2 linked regions of the Oreochromis niloticus genome follow. The protein of the gene in region 2 interacts with the protein of the main gene of each other region in a biochemical or structural test. Links are inferred from orthologs where the notes say so. Each region holds a gene or a part of one and is shown on either strand. Other genes may lie near its edges.

Region 1 (12,014 bases), on a different chromosome or scaffold from region 2:
CTTGAGTAACAACGTCTGTGGCTGAACACACAGTAGACTCAGTACTACGACTGTGGCCCCAAAGGCAAGTCAGTCCCAGCCCACTGCCGTGTTAAAGTGCTCTGACTGTACAGGAAACAGCGCAGCTGTTCCAAACTGTCCTCACTAAAATGGTTTGAAATCTGTTCACATTGATGTTCCTGTTCATGGTTAAAAACACCAGATCCTGCTGACACTTTCAGATTACCACTCTGGTTTTGTACGCCATGTTGGGCGTCATGACTACTCGCGTACGTTTGCACCTACATGCTCCTTTGTGGCAGTCGATGCTTGTGAACTCGATGGTACCATCGTGACATTTCTTGGGGTCTTCCTTGTACTCCTTGGGCCGACCTTCAGGTGCGTACCTATAGGCCAGTCCATAATCTACTAAGTAAACCTACAGTTGACAAACACAAAGATTCAGGCATGCACACACATACACAGTACTTTATACTAATCCATGTTTTACCAGTGTTCACTGACTGTACACAGACACGGGTCAGGATGAAGGAGAGCAGGAGAACACACGATTTCAATTCTAATTCCAGCTCCATAGCACTTTATTATTATTCCTCAGTTTGCATTGTGCTTATATTCTCTGTGGCTTTAATAAAGAAATGTAGAGCAATAAAAGCAAACCTACATTCACCAACTCCGAGGAAGAGCAGGAAAAACAACCAGAGCCAATATTAAAATCCTGAGGGGCTGATTTCTAAATTGTCATTTATAAAAAGCTCCTTAATAACACCACCGATGATACATTATTAATCTCCAAATTAAATATTTGCCCCTGCCCCCACCTTATTTGCAGCTCTGTGCTCCTGCCATCTAATCTCCCCCGTCTGAACACTCTCGCTTCACCTCCCCCCGTCGCAAAAGCCTAATTGAATCTAATGAAGCGGTGCGAGTGTGTTCCAACCAAAACCAGGCTCCTCCTCCTGCTGATGCACGGGTCACAGCGGCACTTTGTAAACAGTCATAGTTTCAGTCAGCACGCTACAACTCCAACTGACCTGGTTAGGATCGCTGTGACTCAACATGAGGTTAGACGCCTTCACATCAGCGTGCACGTACTCGTGCTCGTGGATGTACTCCAGAGTATCCAGCTGCACAGAAACAAATACTCCATCAAATACAGAGTACAGATACATCTGTAATGTAGCAAGACCCTAGTACAAAGTAATCACACTAGATGGTTTAAATATAATGTGCCGTTTGGCCACACAAGAAGCTGCTCAGCCCGTCATCACCTCACTGAGCAGCAGTCACGTAAAGCCAAACCTGTGATCACATTAGAAGGATTTTATTAACAGTAACTTGATTCATTACGTTCAGTTTCAGAACATAAACATTTGTCATTTTTAGAGGGGAATGTAGCCAGGCTGAGCACCAGAGAGCACAGAGGTGAGTCTGACCAGAAACAAAGTTTCACTTCCTCCACATAGATCTTAATAAACTAGAGCGAACAGGGAGACGCGCTCCTATAAAAGAAGAGGCAGCGTGGGATTTCTAACAAGAAAAAGTCATAGTAAAAGGCTATTTTACAGTCTATCCAGTGTCATTGTGACAAATCTTACTGGACTGTGTAAACAAATTACTTCATTGTTGGCATTTTCAGGCAAACAAAGGATTTTCGATCGGAAGCACAGGTGCAGGAAATCTGCTGATGACGTTCGCTTTTCCGTAAAGCGGTGTCAGATTACACACACAGTTTCAGCAGCTTACTTTAAAACTCTACCTGAGCAGAAACAATCATTCCAGGATGAACCGGAGAATGCTTCTGACCCACAATCATTAAAACAACTGAAAATACACTTTTGTTTCTTTTTGGGAAAACCCATTTCCTCCCCTGTGCATCACTAACTCTGAGGATGAAACCACTTGTTATTCAATCCTCATCATCAGTTATTTTCAGTTTGCGTACAACGTTCATCCTCAGGATGTTGGTCATTCCCCATCACACATTCTCTTTCCTGTGATCACCGTGACCTGCTGTTTACAATGTAAGTGTTTCAAACTGAAACAACTTCATCATGACATAACCAACCAGTCGAAGGCCGAGCTGCAGGACCAGCTTTCTGGGAAATCTCCTTCCACATTCCTCAAATTTCTTCTGCAGGTCTGTGCCAAGTCTGTCGATGACCATGAACCTGTAACTGGTTGGTACAGAGAGCTGTGTTAGCAGAGCGTCAGAAAGGCTGCAGCTTTACCTGTTACTGTGAGGACAACAAAGCTGTTTCACTTTACTTCTTATTTGGTGTTTTGGTTTATCTAGCTTCCATTAAGACATTAACACACAAAAAAAATTAATAAAATATTAAAAAGTTAGTTGTAAAAGGTGTAAACAGGGAGATTAGCTTAAATATCTGAGTTACATAAGTGCACAGAGGAAGTCAGGAGGTGTGATGGAAGGGCTGACGATAGCGCTAACTATGTGACCCAGGCGGGACCAAAGCTGATGCCTTATTAGGCCACGGGGGGGGGGGGGGGGGGGCTCCCTTATGAAACCAGTAATAAGTGCTACTACTGAGAACCACTACATGGTATCAGGCAGTGCCAAAGTAATCCACTGAATGAGTCAGAGTGAGGTCTGTTATAAAAGGCAGAGACCTGAGCTGGGCAGGGAAAACAGAAGCTCTAATCAGCGTAATCATGCCCACCTCTCCTTTAAAACTGCGTGTGTAGCCATGTGACTCCATCCAATGTGCAACATGCAAACATCATGGAGGAAAGGTCAAACACAGAGTTGATGCACAGCTCGAGCTGCTTGCACCAAATATAACTGCTGAGTCTGTAGTTTGAACACATTTCTCACATGTCAACAAAAGAAGAACCTGAACAACTGAATGTCACATAGATGGAGGAGAGATGGGCTGCATCATTACAAACTGAGATTTGTCCCCAGCACTCCCACCCTTACCTTTGACCCCCTCTCTCATGTCGACCTGAGCCCCAGTACCGGGGCACGCCCAGGTTTTTCAGCTTCTTGGACTTCATCCAACTCTGAACTGCAGGGCAAGAGTAAACTTATCAGACACGTACATATTTGACTAAAGTGAGCTTTTAATGTGTGCATACATGAAATCAACAACACAGGAAGTAAACTCTGAAAAGCCTGGTGCTGGTTTAAGTGGGTGATGGATGTGAGACTCAAAGTAATAAGAGTATAATTCAGTGGGGGAAAGTGGCCAATATGGCCGCGAGCTAATCTGCTGCTGGGACAAATATTTACCAACAACGTGAGACTCCAGCATGAATAAAATATGAGGCTTTGGTTCCTTAGTCATATAACAGTTAATCGTCAGGGGAGACTGACATTTGGATTGTTATTATATAAAATGCAAAGCGGTGGCCCGAGGGCCGGCGGCGCTGCCACCAAACGCTTCCTTTCCTTTGTAGGGCTCCTCTGAGCCCCGGCTACAACACCATCTTTTAATTAAGAAACTTGCCTCTCTTTTTATTTGTTTGCCCTGCTGGTGAGACTCTTGTGTTATGATCGCAGGGCTAACTTTGGTTTGCTGACAGTATGAGTGTATTTATAGTGTCTGATCATGTGACTCACTGAGATCCGGCTTGGCAGCTCTCATGTAAAATGCGAGCTCGCAGAAAAGCGGTCCATTGTCAATAGGCTCCTGTGGACAGAACAACAGGTACATTAGGTCTGCAGACCCACAACAGCACACTGGGTTGTTGTTTTCACCCTTAACAGGCAGGAAAAAAAACGAAACACAATTTTCTTCTGTTTAAACATTTAAAAAACAAACAAACAAACAAACAAACAAACAAAACTGCAAAAACTGGTTGTGTGTTTATGTGTTTGTGTGTTTAAATCCAGGTTCACAGACTGTTACATCTCTGACAGTTAGGAGCAGGGCAGCCCCACCAATCGGTCGTGCTGCAGTTTGAATAAAAATATTTAAAATATTCAATAAAAATGTTGAATAGCTTCCATCCACAGTTTGTTTCAGACAGTGACAGCACAAATAATTAGAGTTAAAGTTAGAATAAACACTGTATAGGAAGACCTTTACATTTGGCCCACAACAGCCATCACGTCACTTTTTAACAGCAACACCTGCAGCGTGCAGATGTGAGCCTGCAGTGGGCTACAGCACAGTGGATCTGACGGCGCTTTTCTGTCCGGTCTCTCCTCACATCTCGACAACGATTTGAACCAAAAAACGTAAAATTAGGATTCATCGCTCCCTCAAATGTTGCCACTGATTTTCAGTTCAGATGTTGGGTAATGTGGCATCCCCACGCTTTTCCTCCCCGTTTCTCCTCCTTAAGAATAGAAACAGGGAAACAGTCACAGTGCAGAAAGTGCCTTATTGGCTGCAACGTTTGCACTGTGATCACTTCTGGTGAGACTTTAGTGACCAGCAACTGGACAGAGCCATCTGACAGGTCCAGGGTCAAGGCCTCAATATATATGCTGTGCTGGCTGCATCACTGCAGTTAGTGAACAAATAAATAAATCAGACAATTCTCAGAGAGTCAAATGGGAGAGACTTTGAGCCTGATGAGTCTGCACATTCGAGCAGAAAAGCAAGTCAAACAAGTCCTGTCAGTATGTGAATTATTTCTGGACTTAATCCAATGAACTTATGTTGCCAATTAAGTCTTAACTTTTGATGGGCTTAACTAAGGTGGAAGTGTTATAGAATAAAAATTGATATGTCATAAAATACAAAGTACTTCAGGTTGAGTTGGCTTTTGTAGCTACTTTTCTGTGAATAAAGAAAAAAGTATGTAAAGAGTAATAATGCCTGGACTGGAACAAACTTAGTCCTACCACTTTGATGACATAGCGAGCATCAGCACCCACAGGCTTTGCAGAATTTTCCTCCGCTGGGGAAAACATAAGAGGGAATATGTTCATTATTTACAGTATTTGGTTGACACATGCTTAAAATCTTTATTAACTTCTATTAAATATAAAGTTTGCAACTCAAACTCAGATGTTAACTAGAACTAAAATACAAATAACATTGTCTTTTATTTTACCATGACTGTGTCACTAGCATCCTGTGTTCTTACCCAAGTATATGACACCAAAGCCCCCTTGACCGATCGGAGCCCCCAGCTTCCATTCCTTCTTCATGGTGTCCTTCAGCACTTCTCCAGGAGGAAACTCCTCTGCCAGTTTCCTCTTGGCAGGGGCTCTGCCTCTGCCTGCCGCCTTGGCTTTAGGGGGCATCTAACACACACACAGCCACGGTGGTTGTTAGTGCTGCTTCATCGTGATGGAAGCAGAACTCCAAAATAAAACTAAGCTAAACATCGTTGTAAACACAACAAGAAATGGAAAATTGTACTTTTTGGGTCACATTAGAACTATGTTTTTATCTGTACCGAAGTTAGCTAACCACATCCCGAGTTCCCCATCACCTGCTAATGTGTGCAGCCTATACGAGACACTTCCCTAACACGAACCGCCTGTTAGCATGTGGGTTAAAACCAACAGAAAGAGAAACAGTAAAGTGATGGCGTCGTGCGAATCCTGCACCTTTAGCGGTTCTTTCGAGGCTCGTTAGCTCTCATGCTAACTGCGTGGTTTTGTGAGTAACCGTGTGTCACATTAGCGCCTACATGATCTGCTACATGACGCCGTCCAACAGCAAACGCTGTACCCGAGTACCTGTGATTGGTTCCGTTAGTATACAGATATATACATCTATGACAAAAACATACCGTCACTTCGTTGTTTATGCTTCCCTGTAGCAGAAACTGTGCATGGACCAAACTTCCCGCAAAACTACCGGTCAGGAAGTTACGTCACCGTACCGCGCTATTTTATAGAGATTGACAGACCACGTGACTTTCGCGCATTGCATGTTGGGTACCCGTGGCAACAAAATCAAAACACTGCATCAAGCGGTAGCATTTCCAGCACCGGTAATCATTAATTCTGCGGTTTTAATCCCTACTAGCATTTTATTTGCCCCAAAAACAGTTATGTACAAAACGAGGGAGAACACGGCAGGTCCGTACAAAGACAGACTTGACGAAAAGACAACAACAAAAAAAAGGACGAGGAAAAAATCAAAGGAGTGAAAGGGTCAGACCCGTACCAGCATACAGAGCGGAGTAAGGACGTCAGCGTGCTGCCCAACTTTCATCACGCACATATTTATTATTATATGGTCCTAAGTGTGAGTGCAGACACTCACATGATGTTTAGTAACTCAGATCCCTGCAACAAGCCCAGGTCCAGTTTACTTTGGTGATTTGGACTATTCCATTTCACAGCTGTTGTTACATTCTTTTCCTTTATCTCCTGTACAGGCAAACGCATCTATTTGTTGTTTCAGGTTGTAGTATTACACAACATTTTCAGATCTAATAGAAATAACATGAGTGTTTCGTAATTCATTCAATTTATTGTCTTTATTTCTAACTGGCATTATTGTTTCATTCTATTATAGAATCTTACAAGAAGGAGGCAAAATTGTAAAAATCCATCATGCTTTATTAGCTGTTTCGGTGAAAAACAACAATGCAAAACAACATACTGGAAAACAGTTATTCATCACTTGATTGCTTCAATACAACCCTTGGGCACATATATGCGGGACGTTTCGTGGCTGTTTTGATATCGCTCTCTCTCTTAACCGATCAAATCTGGCTGTGGTAGCAGCTTTAAACTCGGTCTGACCCAGGGTGATAGAGGGTGCAAAACACATGAAAACACATTTTCAATGAGATTGAAAATGTGACGTCAGTGAAAACACATGAAAACACATTTTCAATGAGATTGAAAATGTGACGTCAGTGAAAACACATGAAAACACATTTTCAATGAGATTGAAAATGTGACGTCATTCCGGGGTGAAACCGCAAAGGATTCTGGGAATGCTAGGCAAGCGGTACTAGCGCACGCAGGCTTTCACATGAAAACAGTCACAAAACACAAAAAATGGCAAGAAGCTGTTGTATTATTAACTGCAATAGCCGGTCGCATGACAGCCATGGGAAGCCAACGGGTAAAGAGATTGTTTTTTATCGGATTACGTCGTGGAAGAGAAATTGTTCAAGCCATGTTTCCGAAGTAACAAAGAGTAACAAAGAGCCGACGGATGACCTGGAGCGGGGGAAGTCGCTGCTTCACTACTGTGTGAACAGCGATGTAGGCCACATACGGCCCACGTTGAACTGTCCTTTTTGTTTATTGTAAAGAAGTTTAAATACACATTTAATCCCTGCGATATCTTAATATATGAAAGATATAATATAAAAATATTTTAAACATGTCTTAATATAAGAAAAAGTTTTCAACAGCAAGTCTATGTTCTGCATTTCTGCTGCAGTACATGAAAGAAATCTGCCAACATGACTCCTGTGGGTTCAGTTCTAATAAATAAATATGATCCGATAGCTCAGACTGTCCTGTAAATATAAAGCAGAAAGTTTTTGTTAATTTACAGAAAATGCCTTTTTTTTTAAAATGTGGAACCATCATCCATTCATCCATTATCTTCTGCTTATCCTCGATTGGGCAGGTCTTCAGTACATGATCAACTATCAGAGCTGTGTTATTAATTTCTTATTGTTTTATTATCAAACCATGGACTAATATGTCTTATTGTGCCATTTAGTTAAGTCTGAAGGCTTTTGGAAAAAAACACACATTCTGTAAATTTATTTAATTTTGTAAAGTATAGACTTTTACCTTGATGTTGAGGTGTTGTCATCATTTTTATACATAGCACCGCATTTTCAGATCCTCAAAAGTATTTGGAAAAAACAACAACAGTTCAATGTTAGGGCTTGTGTGTAATACTTTGCAGTCAATAACTCCCTAAGGTGTAGAACCATGAGTTTTGTGATTGCTTAAGTCAGTAAAAGGTCATGCAAAATCACTTTTTGTCTTTATAATAATGAAAACATCTTCACCACACCCAGTTTATAGGCACTGCAGATATATTAGAGTAAAACACAGGCCGTGCAGTTCATAGTTCAGATTGTATATATTTACACCTAAGTGATTAAATATATATGCTTTTGTCTCCATGCACCATAATGTTGTGTCCCACACATCCAGCTACACCAGTACTGCTTCATCATAGCAAGGCATCTGGGAGAAACAGAAGGGAAAAAGTCATATTTCCTTGGTTAAGAAGAGCATTCATTGATTTCATTACTGACACTGTATCGCCCAATCAAAAGTCTTAATACCTCTCCCCTACTTTCATTATGTGCCTGTATAGCAGACTTTACTGTGGAAGAAGTGGATGATAAAGATGAACAAACAAAAATGAAAAGGTGGCACTAAAAAGCTAAGAGAGAAGACAAAACTACAAAAAGATGCAGCAAAATGTGTCTAATTAAGTGACTTGTTATCTGTCGTGGCTGCTGCATCGTCAACAGTAGTAACAGCAACAACTAGTAACAAGTGCTCACAGGCTGAAGAAGCTACTGCTGCTAGTGCTGCTAGTTCCCTGTGTGGAGAAGTGCAGCAGTCCTAACTGCTATGGGCTTGAAGTTGGCCTCAAGTGTTGTCACATCCCCATTGAGTTCCTGATGAAGGCATTCCAGGATCCAGGTGTGAGGAGTCATAGGCCTTCTTGTAATCAATCCAGGCAGAGCACAGGTTGGTCAGCCTAGTCTTGCAGCCTCGTCTGACTGTTCTTTCTACTAGTCAAATCAAATCAAATCACTTTTATTGTCACGTCACATGTGCAGGTACACTGGTACAGTACATGCGAGTGAAATTCTTGTGTGCGAGCTTCACAAGCAACAGAGTTGTGCAAAAATACAATAACATAAGAACAAGCAAAATATAAGAATGGCTAAATCTGAGAGTAATAAATATATGTACAATATAAGAGTATATCCATTACTGGATGTGTATACTAAATATGTTTTTCTACATGTGTGTGTGTGTGTGTGTGTGTGTATACATATTTTACAAATTAAATAGATTAAACAATAAAATAAAATATATAAAATATACAGAGGTTGGTAGTTGAGACATGTACAAAACAAGTGGCATTTATATACAGTATGGAGTGCATAATGTTGTTGAATGTGGGTGAGGTGTCTATGACGTGTTCAGCAGTCTGATGGCCTGGTGGAAAAAGCTGTCTCTCAGTCTGCTGGTACGGGACCGGATGCTGCAGAACCTCCTTCCTGATGGAAGTAGTCTGAACAGTTTATGGCTGGGGTGACTGGAGTCCTTGATGATCCTCCCCGCTTTCCTCAGGCACCGCTTCCTGTAGATGTCTTGGAGGGAGGGAAGCTCACCTCCAATTATCCGTTCAGCACACCGCACTACTCTCTGGAGAGCTTTGCGGTTGTAGGCGGTGCTGTTGCCGTACCAGGTGGTGATGCATCCAGTGAGGATGCTCTCAATGGCACAGCGATAGAAGGTCCTGAGGATGCGGGGGCTCATGCCGAATCTTTTCAGTCTCCTGAGAAAGAAGAGGCGCTGCTGCGCCTTCTTCACTGTTTTGTTTGTGTGTACCGACCACGTAAGATCCTCAGCCAGATGTACACCAAGGAAGCGGAAGCTGCTCACTCTCTCCACAGCAGCGCCGTTGATGGTGATGGGGGTGTGTACTTCTCTGCACCTCCGGAAGTCCACTATCAACTCCTTTGTCTTTGCGACGTTGAGGGTGAGATGGTTGTCTTGACACCAGTGGGTCAGGGCGCTGACCTCCTCCCTGTAGGCCGTCTCATCACCGTTGGTGATAAGACCCACCACTGTAGTGTCGTCCGCAAACTTCACAATGATGTTGGAGTTTCTAGTGGCCGTGCAGTCGTAGGTGTAGAGTGAGTACAGGAGAGGGCTCAGTACACACCCCTGTGGAGCACCAGTGTTCAGTGTGATGGGGGATGAGGTGATGCTGCCCAGTCTGACTACTTGGCATCTGTCAGTCAGGAAGTTAAGGATCCAGCTGCAGAGGGAGCTGCTCAGTCCTAGATCCTGCAGTTTCCTGTCCAGCTTCGAGGGAACGATGGTGTTGAATGCTGAGCTGTAATCTACAAACAGCATTCTCACATACGTGTCTCTCTTCTCCAGGTGTGACAGGGCAGCATGGAGTGTCAGGGCTATGGCATCATCAGTGGACCTGTTGTGGTGGTATGCGAATTGTAGAGGGTCCAGTGAGTTGGGTAGTGAAGAGCAAACAAAATCCCTGATCAGCTTCTCGAAGCATTTGCTCACGATGGGGGTCAGGGCTACAAGTCGCCAGTCGTTCAATGATGAGATGGTGGAGGATTTGGGTACAGGGACGATGGTGGCCATTTAGAAGCAGGCTGGGACTACAGACAGAGAGAGGGAAAGGTTGAAGATGTGTGTAAACACTCCAGCCAGCTGAGCCGCGCATGACTTGAGGACGCGGCCGGGGATCCCATCCGGACCAGTAGCTTTGCGTGCGTTCACCTTCCTGAAGCACTTCCGCACATCCTCCTCAGACACAGTGTGTGCACTGACGTCATCCGCGGTGCGCACACTGTCCGGTCTCATGGTGTTCGCTGTGTTGAATCTAGTGTAGAATACGTTTAGATCCTCACACAGAGAGGCCGTGGTCTGCGGTGTGCTGGTTTTCCCTCTAAAGTCTGCGATTGTGTTTAGTCCCTGCCACATACTCCGAGGGTTGAATTGAATTGAATTGATTGATTGAATTGATATACCTTTATTAGTCCCACAAGGGGGAAATTTCATAAGGCTGCCGACCTATTGCACGCAATGGCGGCGCCATCTTACCCTCCGACCATACATACATTACACAAAACATCACATGGGGAAGACAGGTCAGAGAGGTATACATGGAAAAGCACAACATGAGGAAAGATAAGGAGAAAAAAATAACTCCCCCCAGACTGAGCTCCAACAGGGAGATCAGTTTGAGAACAGAAAAAAACACCTCTGCACATGAAAAAACTCTTAATACACCAAAGAAACACATGACAAGCAACAGGGGTGGGTAAAGGGTGAGAGACAGCCAATGTAGACAGTACATCCGGGCCTGCAGCCTATGCGCTGGTCTCCATGATCCACCGTCAGCATCGGAAGGGAATAAGCGTCGAAGGCGTTTGGAAAGGGAGGGGGGATGAGTGTGTGCATATCAGTGTATATGTATGTGTGTGCGTGTCCAGAGTTCAGCTGAGACAGTGTCCTTCGCCCTGCCAGGCTAAGTAAACAGTCTTCCAGCCAACCCAGGTGGCCTTGCATAGGATAGGAAGGAACAGACTAAACATAGTCTGTAATCAGGGTGTTGTTGTACAGCTCCAGCCTTGCAACCGCAGCTGGCGCTGAGAAGGTATCCGCATGAAGTGAAGGTGCTTTTTACTTTAGTGCGAACAACTCATATGAATTTCAAAGCAGTTCTACAGTCCAACACTGGTCTCTCAATCTCCCGTTGGAGAGCCGCGAGCTTCGCCATACTTGCGTTCTGTGAGGTTGTCATTCTTGTGCTCAAGGAGCCGATTCTGAAAAACTCACGACAGTGTGCCTCCCCGAGATGTCATCCAATTTACGCTCAGAGATGTTATGCCGAGCGAGCCCTTCCGAGATGTAATCCAGTCTGCACTCAGAGATCTTATTCTGAGTATTCACAGCAGCCGTAGCCTTTCCAAGATCTTATCCGTGCTGCACTCAATGAGCCCATTTTGAGAAACTCACGCCTCGTCCCATCATTTCAATCCCAGCGGGCAGCCTTGTGGGGGTTTGAACAGCCGGTTCCGCTTCCTTAATTCTTCGATAAGCCAGGGCCAAGCCAGCTCCGATCAGCAAGAACCCTGTTATCATGGTTCCGAATAGGTAGAAATCTTCAGCAGTCAGGCTCACCCAAGCCCAAACTTCTCGTTAAGAAAGGGGTGTCAATTGCATTCAGAGACCAGTTGATCAAATCCATAATTCCTCTTTTAGGTTTTAGAAAACAGACTGTGAGAGATTGTTCCAGGGAAAAGTCATACAAAAAACACAAGACTAGACAAGGACATAAGAGGCTAAGCAGGGAAGCTAAGGGAGAGGAGGAGGAGGAGAG
Region 2 (11,146 bases):
TTTGATATAATTACTGACAAGACACATTATTTTAAAAAAGGCATGATTATACACAGTTATGATATTGTATATCAGCGGTGAATTGATCTCCTACCTTGAGAGACATTAAGGAGTTCAAGTTCAATCTGTCTGTTGATTGGGTCAAAGCTCACAATCTTTCCCTCCTAATATAAACAGAACCATAGTTGGTCATGGAGTACGAATGACAGTTTATACCATAGTCTGTATTAAATAAGCTTTCATTACTAACATCATTCCAAGGTTGTGGCAAACATTTTTGATTATGTCATCAGAACTGACTGCACTCACCTTGTATTCAGATACCTCTGGCGTGTAGTTTTCAGTTAGCTCCAGCAGCTGCATATAAACACATAGAATTAAGAAGTGAATGCAATTCACTTCATTTTTATTTATATAGCTTCAAATCACAACAGCAGTCGCTTTAAGGGGGCTTTATGCTGTAAGGCAGAGGAAACAAGAGTACTCTGAGAGCACAACTCCCCTCGAAGGGCGAGGGCTGTAATACAACTGTGTTGCTTTATGATGTTTTTATTACAATGCATCGGAGAGCAACTTAGTATCTTCCCCAAGGAAATTTGACATGAAGCAGCCAGCCATGTATTTATTTTATTTTATTACAATATGCCCTGATAATTATAATATTACCCAGCTTTTATAAGAACACACTGATGTCTGACCTTTGACCTTTAAGCATTACACACTAAAATGATGTATTTTATTATCTTTACCAATAAAATTGAAGCAGAAATGGCCGAAATCTTTGGTTTCAATAAGCTGTAAAAATGTGAGTGTGGCAGGGTGTGGTTTGTGGTTCAGCCGCAGGGGACGGGTGGAGCAGCGGGTTCAGGGTGCAGTGTCAGTGGAGTCTGACACACACCTGAGCTCCATCATCTAGCCATGGCTCCCGGATAAAAGACATGTTGGGACCTGAGGTGGGAGGTGTGTGTGCTACAAGCAACTGCAGGCAATTATGGGCAAAATAACCACTGGTGATGCAAAGTGGACAGGATAAACAATCCTCTGTTTCCAGGTGAACAATTAAAGGACTACCTATGAAAAAACGCTGGTGATTGAGATATGAGCTACTTAAATATATTAGTGGGTTACCTAGGCAACTGAAATACTCAAAGGTGACCTGCAATCAGCTTCAAAGATATGGGCAACACAGTAATTGCTTCCAGCAGTTTTAAACAACATAAAAAGCTGCTAATAATGGGTTCACAAAAATCTTTGTAAGACATGGTTCCTAATTCTTAGTGACTACTACCCATAGTGGTTAGCTTTTGAACCACTGTAGCTAACGAGCTAGCCTCTAGCTAGGCAGGGCAAACTACTGCTATTCAGTCACAGCAGCTTTTTTGACTTCTCTCTAAAAAGTTGCAGGGGAGAAAAAAAACCCCCAGAGGCTCACTAACACTGTATTTGCTTAGAGAACTGTGGATTTAAACATTACATAAAATACTGTACTGTAAGATAAACTCATGGCTTATATGTCTGTGAAGCATTTTCATTTTTCACATAAGTTTACACCTGAACATAAAATCTTTGATAACTGTTCCCCCGCCCCAAAGTTAAGCTAATTTTGTGTGTTCTACAGTATATTAGCTACAACAGTGTACTACAGCTGATAAGGATGTTGAAAAAACATGGTGCAGAAAGCTGCATCTGATCAGAAGGAAAAGCCACGCAAACTTGGAAGAGTTGACCTGATTTGTACAAACTGAAATGGCTTGCAGCGGACAGATGCAAGGTCATCGATGGCTACACCCTCATGCAATAAAGAGGGAGTATGTTGTATTGTAAGACGGCTGATCAGCCTGTTTCACTAACTCATCTACAGAAGGCAAAAAATTATCCCCCCAAAAATTATGAGATTATTTTCAAAATCATCAATAGTAATTTTTTCTTAGTGTAGCCCTAAAACTCCTTTAGAACAACACTATGAGGGCTAATAGCTTTCATTTTTAACCTGGAGACGACTGCAGCTTACAACACCCACCTTAAAGGCAATCCTCTGCCCCACCTGTGGAGGAGCAGCTAACAGGGGCATGGAGTTGTAGTCCTGCTTGGGTACACTTACTGCTTCATTCTATAAATGGAGACAGAAAGTCAAGAATGGCTTTTAATTCATTTTAATTAAGAGCAGATATTACATTTACATCTTAGGCTTCAGATGCAGACAAACCTGGAGGATCACTGAGGTGTTGGTCAGTGAATCATTCTGGTAAGACGGCTCTGTGGCTCCATTATAGCTGGACCCAGAGCTGCTACTGTTCCCTCTGCTTGCTCCTCCTCTACCTCCACCCCTAACACTTGCTCCCTGACCACCGCCACATCTGGCTTTCCCTCTGCAGCCACCTCGCCAAGGAAACTGAATACCTATGCCACCTCTGGGCTGCTGCAGTGGCCTCCGTATCACCAGCTGGATCTCGTCTTCACTGTCCGAGTTGGCACCCTTTGCTGCTGTATGAGACGACTCCGCTATGCTGGCGGTTTGTTCCGGATTATCGTTTGTAGGCTGCGGAGCTGAAGGAGACCGACTTGATTCTGAGTTGGCAGCCGTGGATTTTAAAGGTTTGTTTCTGGGCTGGATTTTGACACTGGCAGCCTCATCAGAAGAAGACTCTGTTTCTGAAGAGGATGACGATGACAGTGGAGGTTTTTTGGGGGCAGGTTTTGTGTTTGATGGGACCTTGGAGGGAGCAGGAGTGGAGGTGGGTGCTTTTGTTGTTTTTTTGGGTACGACATCTTCATCACTGCTGCTACAACTGGAATCTGAAGAGGAGGCTTTTTGTGGTTTTGGTTTTGATGCTTGGAGCTTCTTGGTGCTTTTACTCGGCTGGCTGACGGTAGCAGTAACCTTTTTTCGAAAATCAGCTGGTTTGGGAGAAGCAAGAGCACCTTTTTCCTTTGGCTTCTTTTTCTTCTTCTCTTTCTTCTCTGTGGGTTTTCCTTGTACATTCTTATTCTGGTCATCACTTGCCACTAGGTTGGCACCGTCTGTCATTCTGTCCTCGTTATTTTTCTTCCTCTTTTTCTTCTTCCATTCGACACTCACTCCATTTTCTTCTGGCACAGTGTCTTCTGTGGCTCGCCGTCTCTTTCTGCCGCTTTCACTTGCTGCATCTGGATGACTGCTGTATCCATTCAACTCATTCATCCAGCTCACCTTCACCCTAACACAAAAACAGAACATATCTTAAAGGAAGAGTTGAACATTATACGAATGGATTTATTATGCCAAATTTACTCCACACAAAAAAAGGTCAATTTCTTGTAGACTGGGAGATGCTGCTGAAAGCTCTGGGTTAGTTCTTGATGAAGTTGGCAGTGCACTCAAATGACCCTCAGACTCAAGATCTCAGTCCAATAAGTCACCTTTAAAGGTGACTTATTGGACTGAGACGTGTGGTAGTGTGGGAAATCTGCAGGAACTGCATGATGCTTTCTAGTACCATGTTAAATCTATGGAACAAAGAATTCAGGCACCTCTCAAGGCAAATATATACTGTGGGAGTATATATTAATTTGAGAGAGCCTGACTCAGTATCTCTGTATGTTAACTGTGCCCATTTCTCACTGGGTACTCCAGCCTCCTCCCACACTGATTCTAAATTGGTTGTAGGTGTGAATGTCCGTGTGAATGCGTGTCTGTCTCACCGTGTTAGCCCCGCAACACACTGGCAAACTATCCAGGGTGTACCCTGCTTCTCACAGACGGACAGATGACACAAATGACATCAAACCTGTTTACTTACCTAGTTATCCAACCCTTACAGGAAGTTGGAACCTTAAGTTGAGACACACTCTTGATGACACAGGGCTAACACTGAGAAACAGCAGGCAACCACAAAAGCACATTTAAACCTACACATGATTTAGAATCAGCAGTTCGCCCAACATGCAGATCTCTGGGTTGTGAGAGGAAACCCACACAGATCTGAACCCCAGAACTGTCTCACTGTCAGACGACAGTGCAGAATACTGAAAAACTGACTGTTGTAAAGCATACAGCATTGTATGTTGTAGCTTTTGAACTAACAAAATGAATATGTGTGAATTTAAATATTGTGTTCCTTATGTTAAGACTTAAACTTAACAAACTTTAGGTGTGTTGGTCATTTGAAGTATCTTACATAGGTGCATACTTCAAATTAGGCGCAAATTAGTACAGACTCAAGACTCTGGGGTGCCAAGAGAATAAGTGGTGCCACAAAGTTCGAAAAATGAAGTCTTCGTGAAGTTTCAAATCCACACTTCACTCAATTGCCCTGTGCCAAATACGCGTATCTCATTTTCGCAAACAAAGCCTAAGAATAGATAACACTGAAAGGATGTTTTGGTTAAATTTTATTAACGTTCTTGTTTCTCTTATATACGGAGCCCCTCTGATGACATGGTCCAAAAAATAAATAAATTGTGGCCACAAAACACTACTTCGTGGGCACGAAATGGGTATAACGTGTGCACGAAATGCTAATTTGTGGGCACGAAACACTTGACCGATAACCGTGATCCTTCCCAGGCCCTTGCAGTTGGTTGACAATAAAATCTATCCCGGTGTCCAGGTCGTACTTACGTCTGTAAAGCAACTGGGCTCTCAATATACTGTTTAAATGTCTCTCCGTAATAATGGTTCCTTGCATTGCCAGGCTTTTCAAAATGCATTTGTAGCTCATTCCCAGCCTAAAACAAAACTCAATCATACTGTCTCTGTCCATGGTGTATAGGTTTAGCCTACTCTTATGCTTATGTCTCTACGCAGCTGTCCAGGAGTTGTATCAATATGATGTGCGCACGTTATCTATTTCGTTGCCACAAATGCGTAATTCGTTGCCATGTTATACCCAATTTGTGCCCACAAATGAGCATTTCGTGCGCACGTTATACCTATTTCGTGCCCTCGAAATAGTATTTCGTGGCCACAAATAAGTATTTCGTGGGCACGTTATACTATTTCGAGGGCACGAAGTAGTATTTTGTGGCCACAATTTATTTATTTTTTGGACCATGTCATCAGAGGGGCTCCGTACTTATATGACGACAAAGGGTCTAAAAAATTATGATATACCGCGCCATGATCCAGTTTTTTGTTCATACCACCCAGAGGAAGGCTTCGGGAATACCAAGCAGCGTCCACATGGTACTGAGCTGAGTGTTTAGAGACATGCTGTAACTAAATAACTCGTATTACATATGCCAGGATCTGTCAGCGCTTTGAAAGTTACAACTAACAAAACACGCGCACCTGACGCTGTCGTTGTCTCGCACCACGTAGATGCTCTCCGTGTGCGGCAGGTAGCAGTCTTCTATGAACAGGCTGAGGATGCTCCCGCCGCTGAATTCAAACTTCTCCCTGATGACGCTCTCCAGGTCGGCCACCACGCGACACACGTTTAGGTCTACGAGCAGCCAGCACATGCGGCAACCGACGACAGCCGGCGGCGGGTAGTCAAAGTACAGGCGCAGTCGGATAAAGTTATTACTGTGGGCAGCCATGACGGCTACAGTACCAAAACACCGGCTGTCGTACTCCCTCTGCAAGCTCAAAGACGACACTTCCGCCCAGGCTCTTCAAAATAAGAGTTCAAACCCAAACGTATTTCCTTTCCCTATTCAAAGAAAAGAGTATTATAGTAATAATAACTTTTTAATGACAACTATACCCATATCATATTAACTTATCATAATAAAGAAAATAAAGACATTCTTTAAACTTTTTTTTTTTTTTACAACAGGTGAATATTTGTTTAATTAAACATTGATTACAGCTTAGCATGACAATTCGGCTTTCCATACTGAATACACTAAATAAAATGCTAATTTACCGAGTGTATATTTTACTATTATTTTATTGTATTTTATTTCAACTGCTGTGAAATTATTTCCTGCTGTAAAATTATTTCCTAAATATGGGAGAAATAAAGTATTTATTATTTCCTTATTTTAGGTCGATTTTTTGAGAAAAGAAACGTATTCGTATGACTTTTATTTAAATTATCAGTTTTCAACGGAAGTGAGGCGCACGTGTTTGGCGCTGTCAAGACCCTCGTTTGCAATATTGACCTCTGCTGGCGTGGAGGAAGGACTGAATTATTACAGAGCTCCATCGCAGCCAAATGATCGACAAATATTCACCAGAGGCTCTTGTCGTTAATTGAAACTAAACTCAAACGTAACTAAAAAATGACTTGAATAAAAGCTTATCTTCATTCTTCTTGGGATTTTTTTTTTGTTAAAGTCCTTAAAACTGACTTTATGACTCATTCAAGCATTAAAAAGGCACTTAACTAACGGGTTGAACCACTGGTCTGTCTACACATAATAGACAACTTATATCAGCATGGTTATCAGATTTTCCTTAAAAAACGAAAAAGAAAAAAATTAGGACCAAAGAAGAAGTGGCAAGCCTAGAACACTGTCTACATCAGATGACCAGTTTCTGGAATCCATGTCTGCTAGAAATAGGAAAAATCCAGCGAGACCTGGAAAAATAAAAAATAGACATATTAAGACCTTGATCCATCTATTCTTGCCAAACTCTTGTCGGAAATGGTCTGAATGAAAAGGTCGCTGTAAGCCATTCCTAAGGAAGGGTACAGGATGGAAAGGCTGCAGTATGTCACAGTACACAAAAACTGGATTGAAAATGAGGGGAAACAAGTCAAATCTAAAATGGTTCAAACCATTATCAGCGTGTATGTCTCTGTAGGACACAGAGTAGGAGAGTCACTTTTATCCCTACAGCAGTTCTGCACCTGAACTCTGAGCCTTTCCTACCTCTGTATTAAATAGCCTCCTTGCCGTTTCTTTTATAACTGAAGTGCTCACTTTGTCTGAACTGTGTGCATTTGTATTGATGCTTTATGTCAGTGTTCTGCCTGTTTTAATTGTTAATTGCCCCTTGGGGATAAATATGTTTCTGGGATTTGAAATGAATGTTAGATCAAACTCATCGTCTTTTCTTCTTTTCTTTTGATGTTCATTGAGGTTTTTCAGAGCCCTTAAGTCACTTTACTCTTTCCAGTGCTCTGAGGTTATTCTAACTTTACTTTGTGACGCAATATTAAAAAAAAGTGTCGGTCAGCTGACCACGGGTTTGGTCATGTGACTTCTCGTTGCAGTTGAAATTATGCGGACCCTTTGCAGCTAGACACTTTAACGATGGGTTCCTTCCGAGTAGACTTTACTTTGTGTTTCTTACTCAGCGTTGTGCTGTCCAAAGGTAAGATATCCGCACTGTGGACGAGGCTCTTACAGACTTCTTCTCGGTTTTCCTACCTCTCGCTTTGACTTCAAAACGAAAGTAACGTTTTGATCGCTCATTACAGACTGGTTTATTGTTTCTAGTAGAATGACGATGTAACACTGTCACACTGTAACCGAACACCAAGTTAACAAAGTGGATGTGATTGAATTCTGCGCAGGGCTCCCCTCTGCTCTGGCGAGCAAAGAAGCCTGGAACTATGTGGAGGTGAGAGACGGGGCCCACATGTTCTGGTGGCTCTATTATGCTGACAGTGTACAAGCCCAGTACAAGGACCTGCCTCTGGTCATGTGGCTGCAGGTAGGACGTCATGATTTTTGTTTTCCACCTTAACTGGGCTTCCAGTGATGTCAGCATTTTAATCAAACTCCAGATTCGTCCCATTTACGAATATTTTACGCGTGTTTAGTTGTTTAGTATCAGTCCGATTACGTTTAGACCAAATAAATTGTCAGTGAGATTTTCTTTTTACACAAATAAATTAATTGCCTAAATAGGAATTTAAACTGTGAATTACTAACTTTGCCTGCAACTTCCCCCGAATTGTCAACCACGACCTTATGCTGACAGCTTAAAAAGTTGTTTTTCATTTAGGCAGTAGGCTGTCTACAGTCTGTACCTATAATACCTGTTGAACACGGTCTGTAGGGTCTTATATATTTTTGTAGTTCATTCAAGTTAAAGCATGCAGAAGTTTTTTGTACTGGACACAGAGAGTGATCCATCCCCAGACACTCAAGCTTTCAACTATTAGTTGGAGTAAGACTGGAAAGTGGGGGTCAGTCTTCTCTGTATGTTTCTGAGGGGGAACAAAAGTCCACAAAACTAATAATGCTTCAAGTATTTATGTCTTATTTAGTGATTCTCATCCCATATCAAATGTCTGTCTTGCCCATTGTATTAAATACTGATTGAATAGTTAGGGCTGTGACAAATCGAGCACATGCATGGTTGCATTCTCAAAGCGGAACCGGCTGTTCAAACCTCCACAAGGCTGCCCGCTGGGATTGAAGCGATGGGACGAGGCGTGAGTTTCTCAAAATGGGCTCATTGAGTGCAGCACAGATAAGATCTTGGAAAGGCTACGGCTGCTGTGAATACTCAGAATAAGATCTCTGAGTGCAGACTGGATTACATCTCGGAAGGGCTCGCTCGGCATAACATCTCTGAGCGTAAATTGGATGACATCTCGGGGAGGCACACTGTCGTGAGTTTTTCAGAATCGGCTCCTTGAGCACAAGAATGACAACATCACAGAACGCGAAGCTCGCGGCTCTCCATCGGGAGATTGAGAGACCAGTGTTGGACTGTAGAACTGCTTTGAAATTCATATAAGCTGTTTGCACTAAAGTAAAAAGCACCTTCACTTCATGCGGATACCTTCTCGGCGCCAGCTGCGGTTGCAAGGCTGGAGCTGTACAACAACACCCTGATTACAGACTGTGTTTAGTCTGTTCCTTCCTATTCTATGCAAGGCCACCTGGGTTGGCTGGAAGACTGTTTACTTAGCCTGGCAGGGCGAAGGACACTGTCTCAGCTGAACTCTGGACACGCACACACATACATATACACTGATATGCACACACTCATCCCCCCTCCCTTTCCAAACGCCTTCGACGCTTATTCCCTTCCGATGCTGACGGTGGATCATGGAGACCAGCGCATAGGCTGCAGGCCCGGATGTACTGTCTAAATCGGCTGTCTCTCACCCTTTACCCGCCCCTGTTGCTTGTCATGTGTTTCTTTGGTGTATTAAGAGTTTTTTCATGTGCTATGTGCAGAGGTGTTTTTTTCTGTTCCCAAACTGATCTCCCTGTTGGAGCTCAGTCTGGGGGGAGTTATTTTTTTCTCCTTATCTTTCCTCATGTTGTGCTTTTCCATGTTATACCTCTCTGACCTGTCTTCCCCATGTGATGTTTTGTGTAATGTATGTATGGTCGGAGGGTAAGATGGCGCCGCCATTGCGTGCAATAGGTTGGCAGCCTTATGAAATTTCCCCCTTGTGGGACTAATAAAGGTATATCAATCAATCAATCAATCAATCAATCAAACATGTGCAGCATCATGCTACCATTCCATCTTCCTGTACAGTGATGTCTGCAGGAAGTTGTGATGTTCACAGATTGTGTCCCCGTCTGATCAAATGATCAGGCCTTTGGTTAAAAATGGAATGGTGCTTAGACTGTAGGAGAGGTGGTAAGAGTGAGTAATGGCAGTGTTGTTTTTACTTCTAACTACAAAAGAGGAACAACTCTGGTCTAATTTTAAACTTTCTACCTTGTGACATTGTATTGCATTATTTTTCTGATCCCACCCCCTGCCACCAAAAACAAACAAACAGTAATAGAGACGTGTACTTTAATGGCTCATTTAATACGAATGTGGCTTGTGCCGAGCTAAATGGCAAATATAACAATGTTTACCTGTGTGTGTGTGTTTTAGGGTGGCCCAGGAGGATCTGGAACTGGCTTTGGCAACTTTGAGGAAATTGGACCCTTGAACAGAGATCTAGAGCCCAGAAAAACAAGCTGGGTAAAGATTTATTGTAACTGAAGAGTTCTTCAAAGAAAGTATAAATGAATAAAAATGCAGATTAGCATGCTGACATGTAGTGTGTGTGTGTGTGTGTGTGTGTGTGTGTGTGTGTGTGTGTGTGTGTGTGTGTGTCACCTTTAGGTCCAGGCAGCCAATTTGTTATTTGTAGATAACCCTGTGGGCACTGGCTTTAGCTACACAGACAGGCCAGGTGCCTATGCTACCAATGTGTCCACCGTGGCCTCAGACATGCTGGTGCTGCTCAAACACTTTTTCTCAGAAAAGCCTGAGTTCCAGGTATGTCCATTATTGCATTTTTTTGCCTGTTTGTCAGAAAGATGGGCTCATCAAACGTTGTCTAAACACTGAAGTGACTCCAAAACACATTAATATTAAAGGACCTAAAGTGTACTGTTCTGTTCTTTTCAGAGCATCGCCTTCTACATTTTCTCTGAGTCATATGGAGGGAAGATGGCAGCTGCTATCTCCTTAGAGCTCACCAAGGTGAGGAGACTTATTTTTGGATGTTTCTGTTGTTCTTGGCACAGCATTCAGTTCAATGTGAGCTCACTGCTATTGAAAAGTCCCAGTGCTAAAGATGTCATGTGATAGAAAAGGGAAGTAGAGACAACGTGACATTTAAAGGAAAAAAAACAAAACTGTCTGACAGCTTGTAAAGCCTTCTCTTCCAGAGAATTAAGCAATAACTTTTATTGTAGTTTGTTTTTATTTTTTAGCTGGTCACATTTTTTATTTTATTTTTGGAGAGAGAGAGATTTAGAGCTGTTAATGATTTATCTTCTGTTTAAAGCACATTGATTGAGTTAAGTAACATGAAATGTGCTTTATAAATATAGCTGACTTTAGCAATGTTAAATTGATGGGTATGCTGTATGAAATCAGATTATGATGCCCATTTATACCACCAGTCAAAAGTTTGGACACCTTCTCATTTAATGGTTTTTCTTTATTTTCATGACTGTTTACATTGTAGATTCTCACTGAAGGCATCAAAACTATGAATGAACACATATGGAATTATGTAGTAAACAACTTAAAGCATGTTTTATATTTTAGATCCTTCCAAATAGCCAACCTTTGCTTTGATTACTGCTTTGCACACTCTTGGCATTCTCTAGATGAGCTTCATGAGGTAGTCGCCTGAAATGGTTTTCCACTAGTCTTGAAGGAGTTCCCAGAGATGCTGAGCACTTCTTGGTCCTTTTGGCTTCACTCTGCGATCCATCTCATCCCAAACCATCTTGACTGGGTTTAGGTCAGGTGACTGTGGAGGCCAGGCCATCACTCTCCTTCTTGGTCAAA

The links.
Region 1: of the proteins of coil (region 2) and vrk1, one has a biochemical effect on the other in vitro, tested with the Homo sapiens proteins (2 studies listed by BioGRID and IntAct, with this or other methods). The link is inferred for Oreochromis niloticus from reciprocal best matches to the Homo sapiens genes COIL and VRK1.

What each region holds. Positions count from the first base shown.
Region 1 is NC_031983.2:1,343,695-1,355,708, reverse strand, and holds the start of vrk1 (serine/threonine-protein kinase VRK1), read right to left. Parts: upstream 5,866-12,014; 5' UTR 5,716-5,865; intron 5,222-5,715; coding exon 5,062-5,221; intron 4,873-5,061; coding exon 4,817-4,872; intron 3,654-4,816; coding exon 3,584-3,653; intron 3,030-3,583; coding exon 2,942-3,029; intron 2,178-2,941; coding exon 2,069-2,177; intron 1,128-2,068; coding exon 1,035-1,127; intron 419-1,034; coding exon 286-418; intron 1-285. UniProt on the Homo sapiens protein: Serine/threonine kinase involved in the regulation of key cellular processes including the cell cycle, nuclear condensation, transcription regulation, and DNA damage response.
Region 2 is NC_031969.2:3,339,820-3,350,965, forward strand, and holds the start of coil (coilin), read right to left. Parts: upstream 5,598-11,146; 5' UTR 5,521-5,597; coding exon 5,270-5,520; intron 3,198-5,269; coding exon 2,207-3,197; intron 2,111-2,206; coding exon 2,021-2,110; intron 358-2,020; coding exon 310-357; intron 165-309; coding exon 95-164; intron 1-94. Other genes in the region: scpep1 (retinoid-inducible serine carboxypeptidase), read left to right, coding at 7,186-7,246, 7,449-7,588, 9,731-9,820, 9,965-10,120, 10,253-10,327. UniProt on the Homo sapiens protein: Component of nuclear coiled bodies, also known as Cajal bodies or CBs, which are involved in the modification and assembly of nucleoplasmic snRNPs.